Macaca mulatta: one gene and its partner. The main gene of each other region encodes a partner of the protein of the gene in region 2 in a complex. Links are inferred from orthologs where the notes say so. Each region holds a gene or a part of one and is shown on either strand. Other genes may lie near its edges.

Region 1 (7,271 bases), on a different chromosome or scaffold from region 2:
TACTTTTAACTGTGACTCCATTTTAATCATACTAGAGTAAAACACTTCAGATCTGAATTACTTCCAAATGGCATACAGTCTAGATTTCTATCACTGCTGGAATCTTTCTGGCCTTTGGCAAATAAAACCCAATCACAGCATTCACAGTTAAAGTACCAAACACTTGATTAAAAATCTGTTTCAACTGTATTCTGTATTTTTAACCTGGACTGGATACTTTTTTTCCAAACCTGTCTTCAATGTTGTGTAACAGCTACAAAGTATTTTATGGGTAGTCTCCTTTAAGGAAAAAGGGGAAAAGTGCCTGGCGCAACGCCAGCAATTTAGGAGGTCAAAGTGGGCGGATCACTTGAGGTCAGGAGTTCCAGATCAGCCTGGCTAACATGGTGAAACTGCCTCTCCTAAAAAGACAAAAATTAGCCAGGTGTGGTGGAACGTGCCTGTAGACCCAGCTACACAGGAGGCTGAGGCACGAGAGTTGCTTGAACCCTGGAGGCAGAGGTTGCAGTGGGCCAAGATTACGCCACTGCGCTGTAGCCTAGGCAACACAGTGAGACTCCATGTCAAAATAAACCCCAAAAAAACAAATTTCTGAGGCTACAATTTTGGATAGATACATTATATTATGGAAGTCAGTGAAAAAGGTGTGCTAAAATCAGATACAGGTTGAGCATCCCTTATCTGAATGCCTGGGACCAGAAGTGTTTTGGATTTGTAATTTTTTCAGATTTTTGAAATATCTGCATACACAAGAGATATGCTGGGAGTGGGACTCAAGTCTAAACTAGAAATTCATTTATGTTTCATATATACCTTAAGACATGTAGCCTAAAGGTAATTTTATGCACTATTTTTACAAGTAGTCATTACAGACTAGGACACATTAGGTCTATCCCTTAGCCTCTCAGTCTGCTCCTCCAACTCAAATACTTTGAGATTTGAGAGCATTTCGAATTTTCGCATTAGGGATGTGCAACCTGTATTACTAAACGTCGCTAAAATAAAACCACACGTTTTAAAAGAGCAAATCTCTTACCAGCTGAAATTCTCGACGCCGGTCATAGGCATTCTGTATGCCGCTGTCTGCCCATAATGCTCTTATAGCAGGAAGATATTGTAAGAAAACCCTTGTTTCCACCATTCCTTGGGCTGCCATGGGGGCCCGGGTATCAAACGACATCATCTTATCTCCATGTTGTTGGTTTGAATTATCTCCCCAGGGAATATGAAGCTTCTCTCGAGCATCAACCAGCACCCTCATACCTTTGTTCAAAAAGAAGAAAAAAAAATGTATGGAGAGGAGTCATTACATATTATCATAAGTTTTTATTTCAGTATTATTTCCTTACACTTCTGAATTATCCCAGACAAATCTTCAAAAATGAAGACCAACATTAAAAACAAATGTAACTTCTCAGAGGTTAAAAAAAAATAACAGTTGCTCACTGTCTTAAAATTAGAGCCTTGAAAAGCAAATACTATTAGCACAATTCCTCTTTCTGAAGGATTTTTAACATGTTCCAATTTATAAAATAACTTCTGGGGTAGAAGGTAGTCAAAAAAGAACCCAACTCAAGAAGGAAAAAGAACTTATGTTGCACAGACCAATGTCCAAGCTCACAAGAAAACGGACACAACCAAGATTTTACGAGCCTAAAAGATGTTCATTTATGACACACTAAGAACCAACTATTACATTATAGCTCCATGTTCTGTTTGTTCCTTCGGCACCGTAACCCAACATTGAGTCTTCTAGGAACACATTCAAAATTTAAAAACTTCTTCCAGCCTAAGTTTCAATCCAGTTTAAGTCACAGGACGGCCTTCAATTTCCCTAAAAGGGAGGAAGAGCAACTGCAAAATAATACAAAATCGGACTCCAGCTCACAGAGGTTAGTTAGTTCAAACTCATATTTCATATCACTGATTTACTACTTTCATTACCTTTGATCAATCTGAACAGTCACTTGGCTATTAGGAAGTCATCTGTTTGAATAACTGAAAAACTGGTGTTTTTTGGGTTTTTTTTTTTTTTTTTTTAAATAGAGACGAGGTCTGGCTATGTTGCCCAGCTGGTCTGGAACTCCTGGGCTCAAGCCATCCTCCCACTGTGGCCTCCCAAAGTGCTGGGATTGCAGGAGTGAGCCACCACGCCCAGCCTGAAAAACTGTTCTTCTGTCAAATTTCATGTCAACTCGGAAAAACTAGATTCCTGACGACTTACATCATCTCGCAACAATGCTCAAGTAGATCACACTTACAACTCAGTGTACATTAAGAAGAGGTGTTTACCTGGCTCACAATCAGTTAACATGCTGATGCTATTCATTAACATAATTCCTTAAGTTCAGCTGCATCAGGTTACAAAGGTTCCTTCAATTAAGGACTGTCAAGGCAGAGTCTGCAGCCTTGAAAGAGACCTTAATTAGTTTTGTGCTAAACATTACAGCAGGATAAATACAACTGTTCTTTATAGTTTAACTGCAGAGGCACTAGGGCTACAGCGGGCTGTGGTCTAGTGATTCTCTCTAGTTCATTACTCCACAATGCCTGGCTCTTCAGGCAGTTTTTCCTTTACCCAAACGCTGGAAGGTGGGGGAGCGGGGTGACATTAAGAATTCCCTTATGTACTTCCTGACCAAAAAATCCCACTTAAAAGGACCTGCAATCTGTAGCAAACTCCTAAACTGCTCCCCAGATAAAATAAAATCCAGATGCACCTGAGGTACCAGGCTCTGCACCTAAATTCTGCCAAAATGTCTTTTCTATAGAACACACCTGACACACAGAAACACGAGTGTTAATTATCTTTCAAATGACAAAAACCGTCTTTTTTATTTCTTTGAATGCCCAGAAATAAACAACTTGTTTTTAACTTAAGAACAAAGTTTAATTTTAAAACTACTGTCAATAAAGGGCAGAACCAATTATCTAACTCAACACTCATTCATTGTTTCCATCTGTACAGCATCCACATGACTTTTAGGCCAGTCTTCTTACCACTACATTTCATCTAAACAGAAGTAGTGGTACTCCCTTCCCGCCAGCTCCCAGTTACTTAGCGAAAAGGAGAGTGGAACGTGTTGCACAGAAATTACACGTAAACATCCTACCTGACCGTGACACTGGGGCGAAAAAGCACAGAGGCTACTTTTTCAGACTAACTGTACGGGTCCATTCTCTTCTGATTCCAGTACGGTCAACCTGACACTCTCTCAAGTTTCATATCCTTGCTTAAAAGGAGGCTGTCACCCTACGCCCTTGACAAGAAGTATCGGGGGAAAAAGTTCCCTTATTGCGACGGTTCCAGAACTCGCTTGCTTAGGAGACTGCCAAGGAAACAGGGAGTTGGGAGCGCACGCGACCCCATGTGACTGGGGTCACCCAGCGGGGTAACGAGGTTCGGCCCACATCGCCCGAGCAGGGGATGGGGGTGAAGCGGCTGGGGCTGCCGTTCGGTCTTCCTGCCTCATCCGCAGCGGGGAGGACAGAAGAGGTCTCCCCACACCCCGAGGCAGCACCCAGCTCGCCCCACTTCCCTCTCGTAGGGGGCGAGACCAGGACGCGGTGGGGGGTGGGGGAATGGCCGTGACGCCCACCGGGGAGACAAGGAGGAGAGCAGGGCGACCCCGAGCATCCTCTTGCCTGGGGGCCGAGGGCACCCCGGGCGGGCAGGGTCGGTTCCCGGGGCGCGCCCCCTTCCCGCCAGCCCGCCCGCCGGGCCCGGTCCTCCGCCAGCGACAGAGCGGACGAGGGCGGTGCCCGGCCGCGCGCCCGCCGCCGCCCCAGCCCCCTGGCCCCTAACCCCCGGACCCCGTTCCCGGCCCGGCACCTTTGATCACGTTGCTGTAGATGGTGGGGCGGAACTCCTCGCGCGCGCGCTGGTCGAAATCCTGCCCGTGGATGATCCGCATCTGCTTCAGGAAGGTGGACTTGCCGCTCTCGCCTGCGCCCAGCAGCAGGATCTTCACCAGCCGCTTCACGTAAGTCTTTTCCCGAGACAGGCATTTGTCGATCTCCTTGGACTTGCGTTGCTGCTCGGCCTCGCCGCTCGTCAGCAAGCAGCCGGGGAAGCACACGGACAGCACGGACCGCGACGGCAGGAAGTCCGCCATCTTGCCGCCGCCGCCGCCGCCTCGGCGGGCCCCTCCGGCTCCCTCCACCTCCTCCTCCGGCGGCGGGCGGCTCCGGCACCGCGGCTCGAGGGCGGGGTGCGCGGTGGCGGCCCGAGCGCGCCCAGGGAGGGAGGGAACCAGCGAACTGACTCGCAGGGCGGGCCGAGCAGGGCGGGCCAGGAGAGCGGGGGAGGGAGGGAAGGAGGGCGGGCCCGGCCCGGGAGGGGCGGTGGCCCCGGAGCGTGCGCGCTCCCGCTGTCTCCCGGAGGCGCGCGCGCACGCCCTGGCCGCTCCCCCGCCTCCCGCCTTGGGCGGCGAGTCACGCGCTCGGTGTGTCGCTCGGGTGCCCACGGGGAGGGATGAGGAACCGCGGTCACGTGGGCCGGGCTAGGGAGCACAACTTTCTGTTTCCCTTTCATGGTCTGAACCTACTTGTGGGCAGAAGGGCTTGCCCGAGGCCTGGAGGCCGGAGACCAGGTCCCGGACGCGCCTCTTTGGGCTCCCACTCAGCCGCCCTTTCTCCCGCGTTGCGCGCCCGCTGCCCGCTGTTACCGCCCACCCGACCCATTTCGAGGCCACGAACTCGAAAGTTATTTGAACAGAACAGCTGGCGTGAGCCTGGCAGGCCTTTGGTGCATTTTCTTTATTTTATTTTATTTTATTTTTTATTTTTTGAGACGGAATCTCACCCTGTCGCCCAGGCTGGAGTGCAGTGGCGCGATCTCGACTCACGCAACCTCCGCCCCCCAGGTTCAAGCCATCCTCCCGTCTCAGCCTCCCGAGTAGCTGGGATTACAGGCGTGTGCCATCACACCCGGCTAATTTTTTGTATTTATTTTTAGATACAGGGGTCTTCCCCTATGTTGTCCAGGCTGGTCTCGAACTCCTGAGCTCAAGCAGTCCTCTAGCCTTGGCCTCCCACAGTGCGGGGATTCCAGACAGAGCCAGCGGGCCCTGGCCTGATGTGTTTTCTTAAGGTGATTCCCTTGACCTTCTCTAGTCTTCAAATCCCAGAACGGTAACGAGACGTCATCCACCCCCACTTCCAGCTCTTTCTGGCATTTTCAGACCCCTGCCAGGGCCATCTATGAGGGGAAAGAACTGAAGTTGATGTTCACCTGAGACGTGCTACGAGGGACTGTTAATGGCTCACTCGTGCATTCCACCTGGGCTGTGATGTGACTTCGGGGACGCTTGGCCGAGCCGGAATTAGTGAGTGGCAGCAGGAGGGTGAGGTCATGGTGAAAATCCCCTACACCGGACACTGTGATGCAGGCTCTTCCCAACAAGGAAGCAAATACACAAACACAACGAGGAATGGGAGCACGCACATTTTAGCTTTCCTGCCAGATTACAGAGGATATGACCCGTCAGGGGACTTTTTTTCTTTCCTAATGGCAGATTCAGGCCAGGACACCTGAAAGGAGGCCAGGAGAGAAGCCTCAAGGGACTGCTGTGGGTTGGCAGAGAAACTGCTTAACCGGGACCCCCTAAAACCGACCTCTTCATTCTTAGTATTTAGTTTCAAGTGGAAAAAGCCACTTTGGTCTGTCCTTGTTTTTGGCAATGCAACATAGCTTTGGGCTTCTGTGGCTCAGAAACTTCCTATGTGTGAGGGAGCTGAGGTAAGAGGTCAGCATGCCAAGAAACTCCTGAACAGGTTTAAATTTTAAAATCGGTACTAGTCAGTTACTGTCTGGGGTTGGGTTAATGACTGAGAAGCCTCAACTCAGTAGATTGGCTGCAGTAAACAATGCCTGTAGTAGGATTATCTCCTGTGGCTCTGGCAAGCCTGGAGGTTGGACAACATACGGTATATAAGTACAGTAGGCTCACCTCCGATATCTGTGGATTGATAGAGTCAGAATCACTGAGCAGTGCTGTCAGGCAAAATATATGGTAAAAGCCTGCCCTGGATGGAGAATTTCTCCATCATCCCATCTAGTGTTTGGGAGGCCCTGTTCTCAGCATGCAAGGACTCGCCTCTCCTAGGATTGGGGCATAGAACCTGTCCCCAAGCACTGTTTTTGCATTGACCCCAGGTGCTAATCTGAACTCCAACAAAGACAGAGGAGAGAAACTTGTAGGTTGGTAGTTAACATCTTTTTTCAGAAGTGTGTGTAACATAATGGAAAACCAAGAATGCCTAGGAGGCAGGAAGGTATTCCTGCCCAGCCAGTTCATGTTGTGACATGCAGAGCAGCAGAGAAAGCTATTCAAAGTCCTGCGTGTAAGCTTGCCTTGGAACAAACTTGGCTCACATCGAGTCTGGCTCTTCTACTCAGTGTAGTTTTTTAAAAGAGACCTCTTTGACCTGAAAGTCAAATGAAGGAAGAAGAAGAAGGAGGAAGGAAGAAAGAAAGAAAAAGAGGGCCAGGCACAGTAGCTCATGCCTGTAATCCCAGCACTTTGGGAGGCTGAGGCGGACAGGTCACTTGACGCCAGGAGTTTGAGACCAGCCTGGCCAACATGGTGAAACCTCATCTCTACTAAAAATACAAAAATTAGTGGGGCTTGGTGGTGGGTGCCTGTAGTCCCAGCTACTCGGGAGGCTGAGGCAGGAGAATTGCTTGAACCCAAGAGTTGGAGGTTGCAGTAAGCTGAGATCACGCCACTGTACTCCAGCATGGGTGACAGAGTGAGACTCTCTGTCTCAAAAAAAAAAAGAGGAATGAATGAATGAAAGAAAAAGAGACCTCTTTGGGTCCAACCTGGGGTTTGGCTGCAGCTGTCCAGCTTCTCCTAACTGGTGATCAAGACACCTTGTAAATTGTAAACATAGAAATGAGTTAGAGACATGGTGGTTTCTCAAAGAGTTGAACATAGAATTGCCATGTGACCCAGTAATTTTGTCCTGGGTATGCCCCCCAAAATACTAAAAAGAATTGAAAACAATGTTCAAACAATAACTTGTATACCCACATTCATGGCAGCACCATTTATAGTAGCCAAAAGATTAGCTGGCCGCAGTGGTTCATGCCTATAATCCAAACACTTAAGCCAGGAGTTCAAGAGCAGCCTGGGCGACATGGTGGAACCCTGTCTCTACAAAAAATATATAAAAATTAGCTGAAAGTGGTGTGTGCCTGTGGTCCTAGCTACTCAGAAGGCTGAGGTGGGAAAATCACTTGAGCCCAGAAGGCGGAGGCTGCAGTG
Region 2 (6,513 bases):
GGGTGGAGGTTTCAGTGAGCTGAGATCACACCACTGCACTCCAGCCTGGGTGACAGAGGAGGACTCCATCTTAAAAAAAAAAAAAAAGACAATATTAAAAATATGTGTGTGATGCAGCTAAAGCCATGCTTAGAGGGAAATTTAAAAATTTAAGTGATTATATCTGAAAAGGAAGCAAACCAGTGGCCTACAAATCTACTTTAGGCAGCTGGAAAATTAAGAAGAAGGCAACTCCAAAGTAAGCAGAAGGCAGGAAAGAACCAAGAACAGAAATCAACAATAGCAGCATATCTTTCAAAGGACAAGGTTATACTTGTAATCTGGCCAAAATTAACTTATTTATCAGACTGCTTAATAGGCGTCAAAAGCAGTACTACTGACTCCATGAACTGATTTCTTTGGCTGCATGTGAAGTGGGCGGAGTGTTACCAAAAAGTACTGGGGCCATAACATTTCTGAGAACAGATAATACAGCCAGAGAGGTAAAATATATTAGAATAGGACATCCTCTTTCAGCAAACGTATGCCTTTCATGATGAATTAGTGTCACAAGTAAACAAAATCTTGGTGAGATAATAGACTACCTAGCACTTACAGCCACAGGGCTCTATTCTGCCTCATTTGCAGAGACAGGGTCTCACTTTCACCCAGCCTGGAGTGCAGTAGTGCAATCATAGCTCCCTGCAGCCTCAACCACCCAGGCTTGAGCCATCCTCCCGAGGAGCTGGGACCACAGGTGTGCGCCACTGTGCGTGGCTAAGTTTTTCCTTTTTTGTAGAGAAGGGGTCTAAGTTTTGTTGTCCCAGCTGGTCTCGAACTCCTGGCTCCAAGCTATTCTCCTACCTTGGACTCCCAGAATGCTGTAATTACAGGCATGAGCCACCATGTCCAGCGCAAATCCACAGGTTCCTTACTGGTAAAGGCACGTCAGGCCTGTTTTTAGTTTCATTTTCAGAAGACTTCTGGCCATTACTGTGACTTTTATTTGAACCAGTCTCATTAATAATGATTGATAACGCCGGGCGCAGTGGCTGACGCCTATAATCCCAGCACTTTGGAAGGCTAAGGCAGGCGGATCATGAGGTCAGGAGTTCAAAACCAGCCTGGCTAACACGGTGAAACCCCATCTCTACTAAAAATGCAAAAAGAAATTAGACGGGCGTGGTGGCAGGTGCCTGTAGTCCCAGCTACTCAGGAGGCTGAGGCAGGAGAATGGCGTTAACCCGGGAGGCAGAGCTTGCACTGAGCCAAGATCATGCCAATACACTCTAGCCTGGGCGAAAGAGCAAGACTCCACCTCAAAGAAAAAAAATAATAATAATAATTAATAAATGACTGATAAAAGGTGCATATCCAAAGCATATAATGTACTCCAGCTAAACAGCTTGTGTCACTTGAAGGTTATGAACAAGGATGGTACCTGTGTGTCCTGCCAGCTCACGACTCACGCGCACGTTCCCCTCACGAGTTTTCAGATTGTAAATGGAGCAAATGTTATCCAGGCCACCGCAGGCCACATAGTTCCCAGAAGGGGCGTATGCACAGGTCATGACCCAGGAGGAGCGCAGAGGGATGGCGTGGACCTAATGACAGAAACACAGATGATGCAAACACCTTTATGTTCAAAAACAACACTGACGCTAGGATTATCTCATCTCCAACTTTCATTGCATAGGAGGTAACAGAACAAAATAAGAGCCAAAATTATCTAGAGAGTAATTCCCATGAGTGGCCACTCAGGTGAAGCCTATTAATGAGAAGTCCAGTGCTGCACATGGGATTCAAATTCAATCCACACAATCCAGTTTTACTAAAGTCACGACTTATGATTAGGTGGGGACTTAATAGTAGTGCTGCCTACTCATCAAAACTACTTTATTAGGTGGGGTGCGGTCATTCACACCAGTAATCCCAGCACTTTGGGAGGCTAAATTGGGCAGATCACCTGAAGTCAGGAGTTCAAAACCAGCCTAGCCAACATGATGAAACTCCGTCTCTACTAAATATATCAAAATTAGCCGGGCATGATGGCGCCTGCCTGTAGTCCCAGCTATTCGGGTGGCTGAGGCAGGAGAATCACTTGAACCTGGGAGGCAGAGGTTGCAGTGAGCTGAGATCATGTCACTGCACTCCAGCCTGGGCAACAGAGCGAGACTCCGTCTCACAAGAAAACAAACAGGCCGGGCGCAGTGACTCACACCTGTAATCCTAGCACTCTGGGAGGCTGAGGCGGGTGGATCACCTGAGGTCAGGAATTTGAGACCAGCCTGGCCTCAAATTGGTGAAACCCCATCTGTGCTAAAATACAAAAATTAGCTGGGTATGGTGGTGGGCGCTTGTAATCCCAGCTACTCAAGGAGGCTGAAGCAGGAGAGTTGCTTGAACCAGGGAGGTGGAGGCTGCAGTGAGCAGAGATCACGCCACTGCACTCCAGCCAGGGCGATAAGAGCAACACTCTGTCTCAAACAAACAAACAAACAAAAAAAAACCCAAAAAACCCCATATATATTAGAAGGAAAACACTGCATTACCCTGTCAAATGGCTATGAACTTATTTGAAAACAAAACTTTTTTTTTTTCTTTTGAGATGGAGTTTCGCTCTTGTTGCCCAGGTTTGAGTGCAGTGGCGCAATCTAGGCTCACTTGCAACTTCTGCCTCCCGGGTTCAAGTGATTCTCCTGCTTCAGCCCCCTGAGTAGCTGGGATTACAGGCGCCTGCCACCACACCTGGCTAATTTTTTGTATTTTTAGTAGAGAATGAGGTTTCACCATGTTGGCTAGGCTAGTCTCAAACTACTGACCTCAGGTGATCCACCTGCTTCAGCCTCCCAAGTGCTGGAATTACAGGTGTGAGCCACCGCACCCGGCCGAAAACAAAATATTTTTACGGAATAAACGAAATGGACATTACTATAATCTATCCTGCCACATCTCTCCCAGTGTGTTATATCTGCTGTAATGAATGTAACCATTTATACACATTTAGTATTCTTTAGTAAACTGAATAACATCTTTTACGTATATGTTGGGACCAATGACAATACTTTTTTTTTTTTTGAGACGGAGTCTCGCTCTGTCGCCCAGGCTGGAGGAGTGCAATGGCAGCATCTCAGCTCACTGCAAGCTCCGCCTCCCAGGTTCATGCCATTCTCCTGCCTCAGCCTCCCGAGTAGCTGGGACTACAGGCACCCGCCACCGCGCCCGGCTAATTTGTTGTACTTTTGGTAAAGACAGGGTTTCACTTTGTTAGCCGGGATGGTCTCGATCTACTGACCTTGTGATCTGCCTGCCAGAGCCTCCCAAAGTGCTGGGATTACAGGCATAAGCCACCATGCCCAGCCAACAATACTTTTTATTCAAAACAGTACAATTTGGATTAAGTCTTGAAAATAACATACATTACACTTTAAAGTATGATGATCTCTCCTAAAAAACTAATAATTAAATGAAAAGTGATACTTCTGCACTCTATAAATAAAACATGAAACTTCCCAGACTCTGCTAAAACTGGAATTGAGGTCTCCTGGAAACACAGAAGGTCCTTAGCTCCCATCAGCTTGGTAAGGAGATAACGGAAAATAGCACAACAGCACCTGGTTCAGAGGAAGAGACTGTCACAGGTGCTGGCATGTGACTCAGCTTGTGTCTCACCTGCACAACCTCACTACTAACAAACAGAGCTTGCCGTTACTGCCTTCCCTATCTTGTATTATGTGATTTAACAAAAAAGACTCCAGAGCTTAAAATACTGTTTCCTAGGTGGGTTTTCCAAGGAAGGGAATTTTCCAGTCCCTACCTTGTTGGTGGTGTAGCTGTCCCAGATGATAAGTTTACCATCCTGCGAGGCACTGACGAGAAGCCTGGAGGGACAGACAAAAGCAAACCTATCAGTACCACATAACACAGAAAGTGTACAAGGGCAACAGACTAAAACCCAGACTCTGGTGACTTAAGTGCTTCTATGTTACATGTGCTTCAGACAAAGCCACTTATTATAAGAAAAAAAATCTCTGGTCGGGCACAGTGGCTCACGCCTGTAATCCCAACACTTTGGAAGGCCGAGACAGGCAGATCACGTGAAGTCAGGAGTTCAAGACCAGCCTCGCCAACATGGCAAAACCCTGTCTCTACTAAAAATACAAAAATTAGCTGGGTATGGTAGTGCGCGCCTGTAATCCCAGCTACTCGGGAAGCTGAGGCAGAAGAATTGCTGGAACCTAGGAGGCGGAGGTTACAATGAGACAAAATCATGCCACTGGACTCCAGCCTGGGCAACAGAGCAAGGCTCTGTTTCAAAAAAGACAGACAGACAGACAGAAAGACAAGACAGAAAGAAAGACGGGAAGAAGGGACGAAGAGGAAGAGGAGAGGAGAGGAGGAAGGAAAGGAAGGCTCTAAATGTCAGACCAACTTTAAAAGCATGAACAAAAACACTGTTACAGACCACAGTTGAGAGTGGAGAGTGCACAGCCCCCAACTGAATGCAGGCCACATCACCCCTGGCACCCATTCCCTTTGTCAGCTGAGACAGGCTGACATCATTTCATAACTGCTTCTGTTTAGTTTCATTACAAATCAAATTAGAGGCTCATGTCTTTAATCCCAACACTGGGAGGCCAAGGTAGGCGGATCACAGGAGTTTGAGACCAACATGGCTAGCATGGTAAAATCCCATCTCCACTACAAAAATACAAAAACATAGCTTGGTATGGTAGTGCATGCCTGTAATCCCAGCTACTCAGGAGGGTGAGGTGGCAGACTGCTTGAACCCAGGAGGCGGAGGTTGCAGTAAGCCAAGATTGCACCACTGCACACTAGCCTGGGCAACAGAGCGAGACCCTGACTGGAAAAAACAAAAACAAAAACAAAACAAATAAACGAAAAAACAAACCACATTTAAGACATTCCAAATTCATGAAACATTTCTCACCAAAATACCCCATGAAATTTCCCAGACTGAGCTAAAATTGGAATCAAGGTCTCCTAGAAACCAAAGGAGGCACTCCCTCCTCACCTGCTTGGTAAACAACAGCACCACTGCGCCTGGTCCGGCAGCAGAGACCAGTAACTATCACAAATTTTTTCTTTTTTTTTTTTGAGATGGAGTCTTGCTCTGTTGCCCAGGCTGGAGTGCAGTGGCACCATCTCAGCTCACTGCAAGCTCTGCCTCACGGGTTTCCACCATTCTCCTGCCTCAGCCTTCCGAGTAGCTGGGACTACAGGTGCCCACCACCTTGCACAGCTAAATTTTTTTGTATTTTTAGTAGAGACGGGGTCTCACCATGTTAGCCAGGATGGTATTGATCTCCTGACCTCATGATCTGCTCACCTCGGCTTTCCAAAGTGCTGGGATTATAGGCATGAGCCACCACGCCTGGCCTTTTTTGTTTTTGTTTTTGTTGTTTTTGAGACGGCTTCTTGCTCTGTCGCCCGGGCTGGAGTGCAGTAGCGTGATCTGGGCTCACTGCAAGCTCCGCCTCCCGGGTTCACGCCATTCTCCTGCCTCAGCCTCCTGAGTAGCTGGGACTACAGGCGCCCGCCACCTGGCCCGGCTAGTTTTTTGTATTTTTTTTAGTAGAGACGGGGTTTCACCGTGTTAACCAGGATGTTCTCGATCTCCTGACCTCGTGATCCGCCCGTCTCGGCCTCCCAAAGTGCTGGGATTACAGGCTTGAGCCACCGCGCCCGGCCTGTTTTTGTTTTTGAGACGAAGTTGTGCTCTTGTTGCCCAGGCTGGAGTGCAATGGCGCGTCGGCTAACCACAACCTCCACTTCCTGGGTTCAAGCAATTCTCCTGCCTCAGTCTCCAAAGTAGCTGGGATTACAGGCATGTGCCACCATGGCCAGCTAATTTTGTATTTTTAGTAGAGACGGGGATTCTCCATGTTGGTCAGGCTGGTCTCTAACTCCTGACCTCAGGTGACCCGCCCACCTCAGCCTCCAAAGTGCTGGTATTACAAGTGTTGAGCCACTGCGCCCAACCATGTATTTTTTCATAATTATTTCCTTGTTCTGGCAACGGTGCTCAGTTTGGAATCCACGTGTTGAAAAGGAGCTCCATACTACAAAGGAAAATATGAATAACGAGCAAAAGAATTTCACCTTAGCAGGCGAGTAATGTGGATGAAAGTAACTCCTGGGAACCACAGTTGCTCATGAGAGGTCCTAAGGAACTCTGTAGCATAGGATGCTGTTTTCAATGAAGAGCAAGAAGGTTCTACTGTTTGATGCAGAGATATCTGTCAGTACGGTAAATGATGGTATAAGGATTTTTACTTTTAAGGATTTTATCAAACGAGGGTTTTGTTTTTGTTTTTTTGAGACAGAGTCTCCCTCTGTCACTCAGGCTGGAGTGCACTGGCGTGATCTCGGCTCACTGCAAACTCTATCTCCTGGGTTCAAGCGATTCTCATGCCTCAGTCTCCCAAGTAGCTGGGATTACAGGCACGTGCCACCACGCCTGGCCAATTTTTGTATTTTCAGTAGAGATGGGCTTTCCCCATGTTAGCCACG

What was found.
Region 1: the proteins of GNB1 (region 2) and GNA13 are in contact, whole or in part, in a cryo-EM structure (PDB 8H8J), measured with the Homo sapiens proteins. The link is inferred for Macaca mulatta from reciprocal best matches to the Homo sapiens genes GNB1 and GNA13. Residues at the interface, in NP_001269468.1 of Homo sapiens: Gly53, Leu55, Lys57, Tyr59, Gln75, Asp76, Lys78, Ile80, Thr87, Asn88, Lys89, Val90, His91, Ala92, Ser98, Trp99, Met101, Leu117, Asp118, Asn119, Tyr145, Asp186, Met188, Asp228, Arg314, Trp332; in NP_006563.2 of Homo sapiens: Ser31, Ile34, Asp35, Leu38, Glu41, Lys42, Val45, Lys50, Gly205, Ile206, Glu208, Lys219, Val221, Lys231, Arg232, Trp233, Phe234, Glu235, Cys236, Phe237, Asp238, Ser239, Val240, Arg279.

The regions. Positions count from the first base shown.
Region 1 is NC_133421.1:74,806,029-74,813,299, forward strand, and holds the start of GNA13 (guanine nucleotide-binding protein subunit alpha-13), read right to left. Parts: upstream 4,235-7,271; 5' UTR 4,116-4,234; coding exon 3,833-4,115; exon of another isoform or gene 3,407-3,832; intron 3,298-3,406; exon of another isoform or gene 3,114-3,297; intron 1,264-3,113; coding exon 1,037-1,263; intron 897-1,036; exon of another isoform or gene 394-896; intron 1-393. UniProt on the Homo sapiens protein: Guanine nucleotide-binding proteins (G proteins) are involved as modulators or transducers in various transmembrane signaling systems.
Region 2 is NC_133406.1:238,896,588-238,903,100, reverse strand, and holds part of GNB1 (guanine nucleotide-binding protein G(I)/G(S)/G(T) subunit beta-1), read right to left. Parts: intron 3,861-6,513; coding exon 3,797-3,860; intron 1,584-3,796; coding exon 1,421-1,583; intron 1-1,420. UniProt on the Homo sapiens protein: Guanine nucleotide-binding proteins (G proteins) are involved as a modulator or transducer in various transmembrane signaling systems.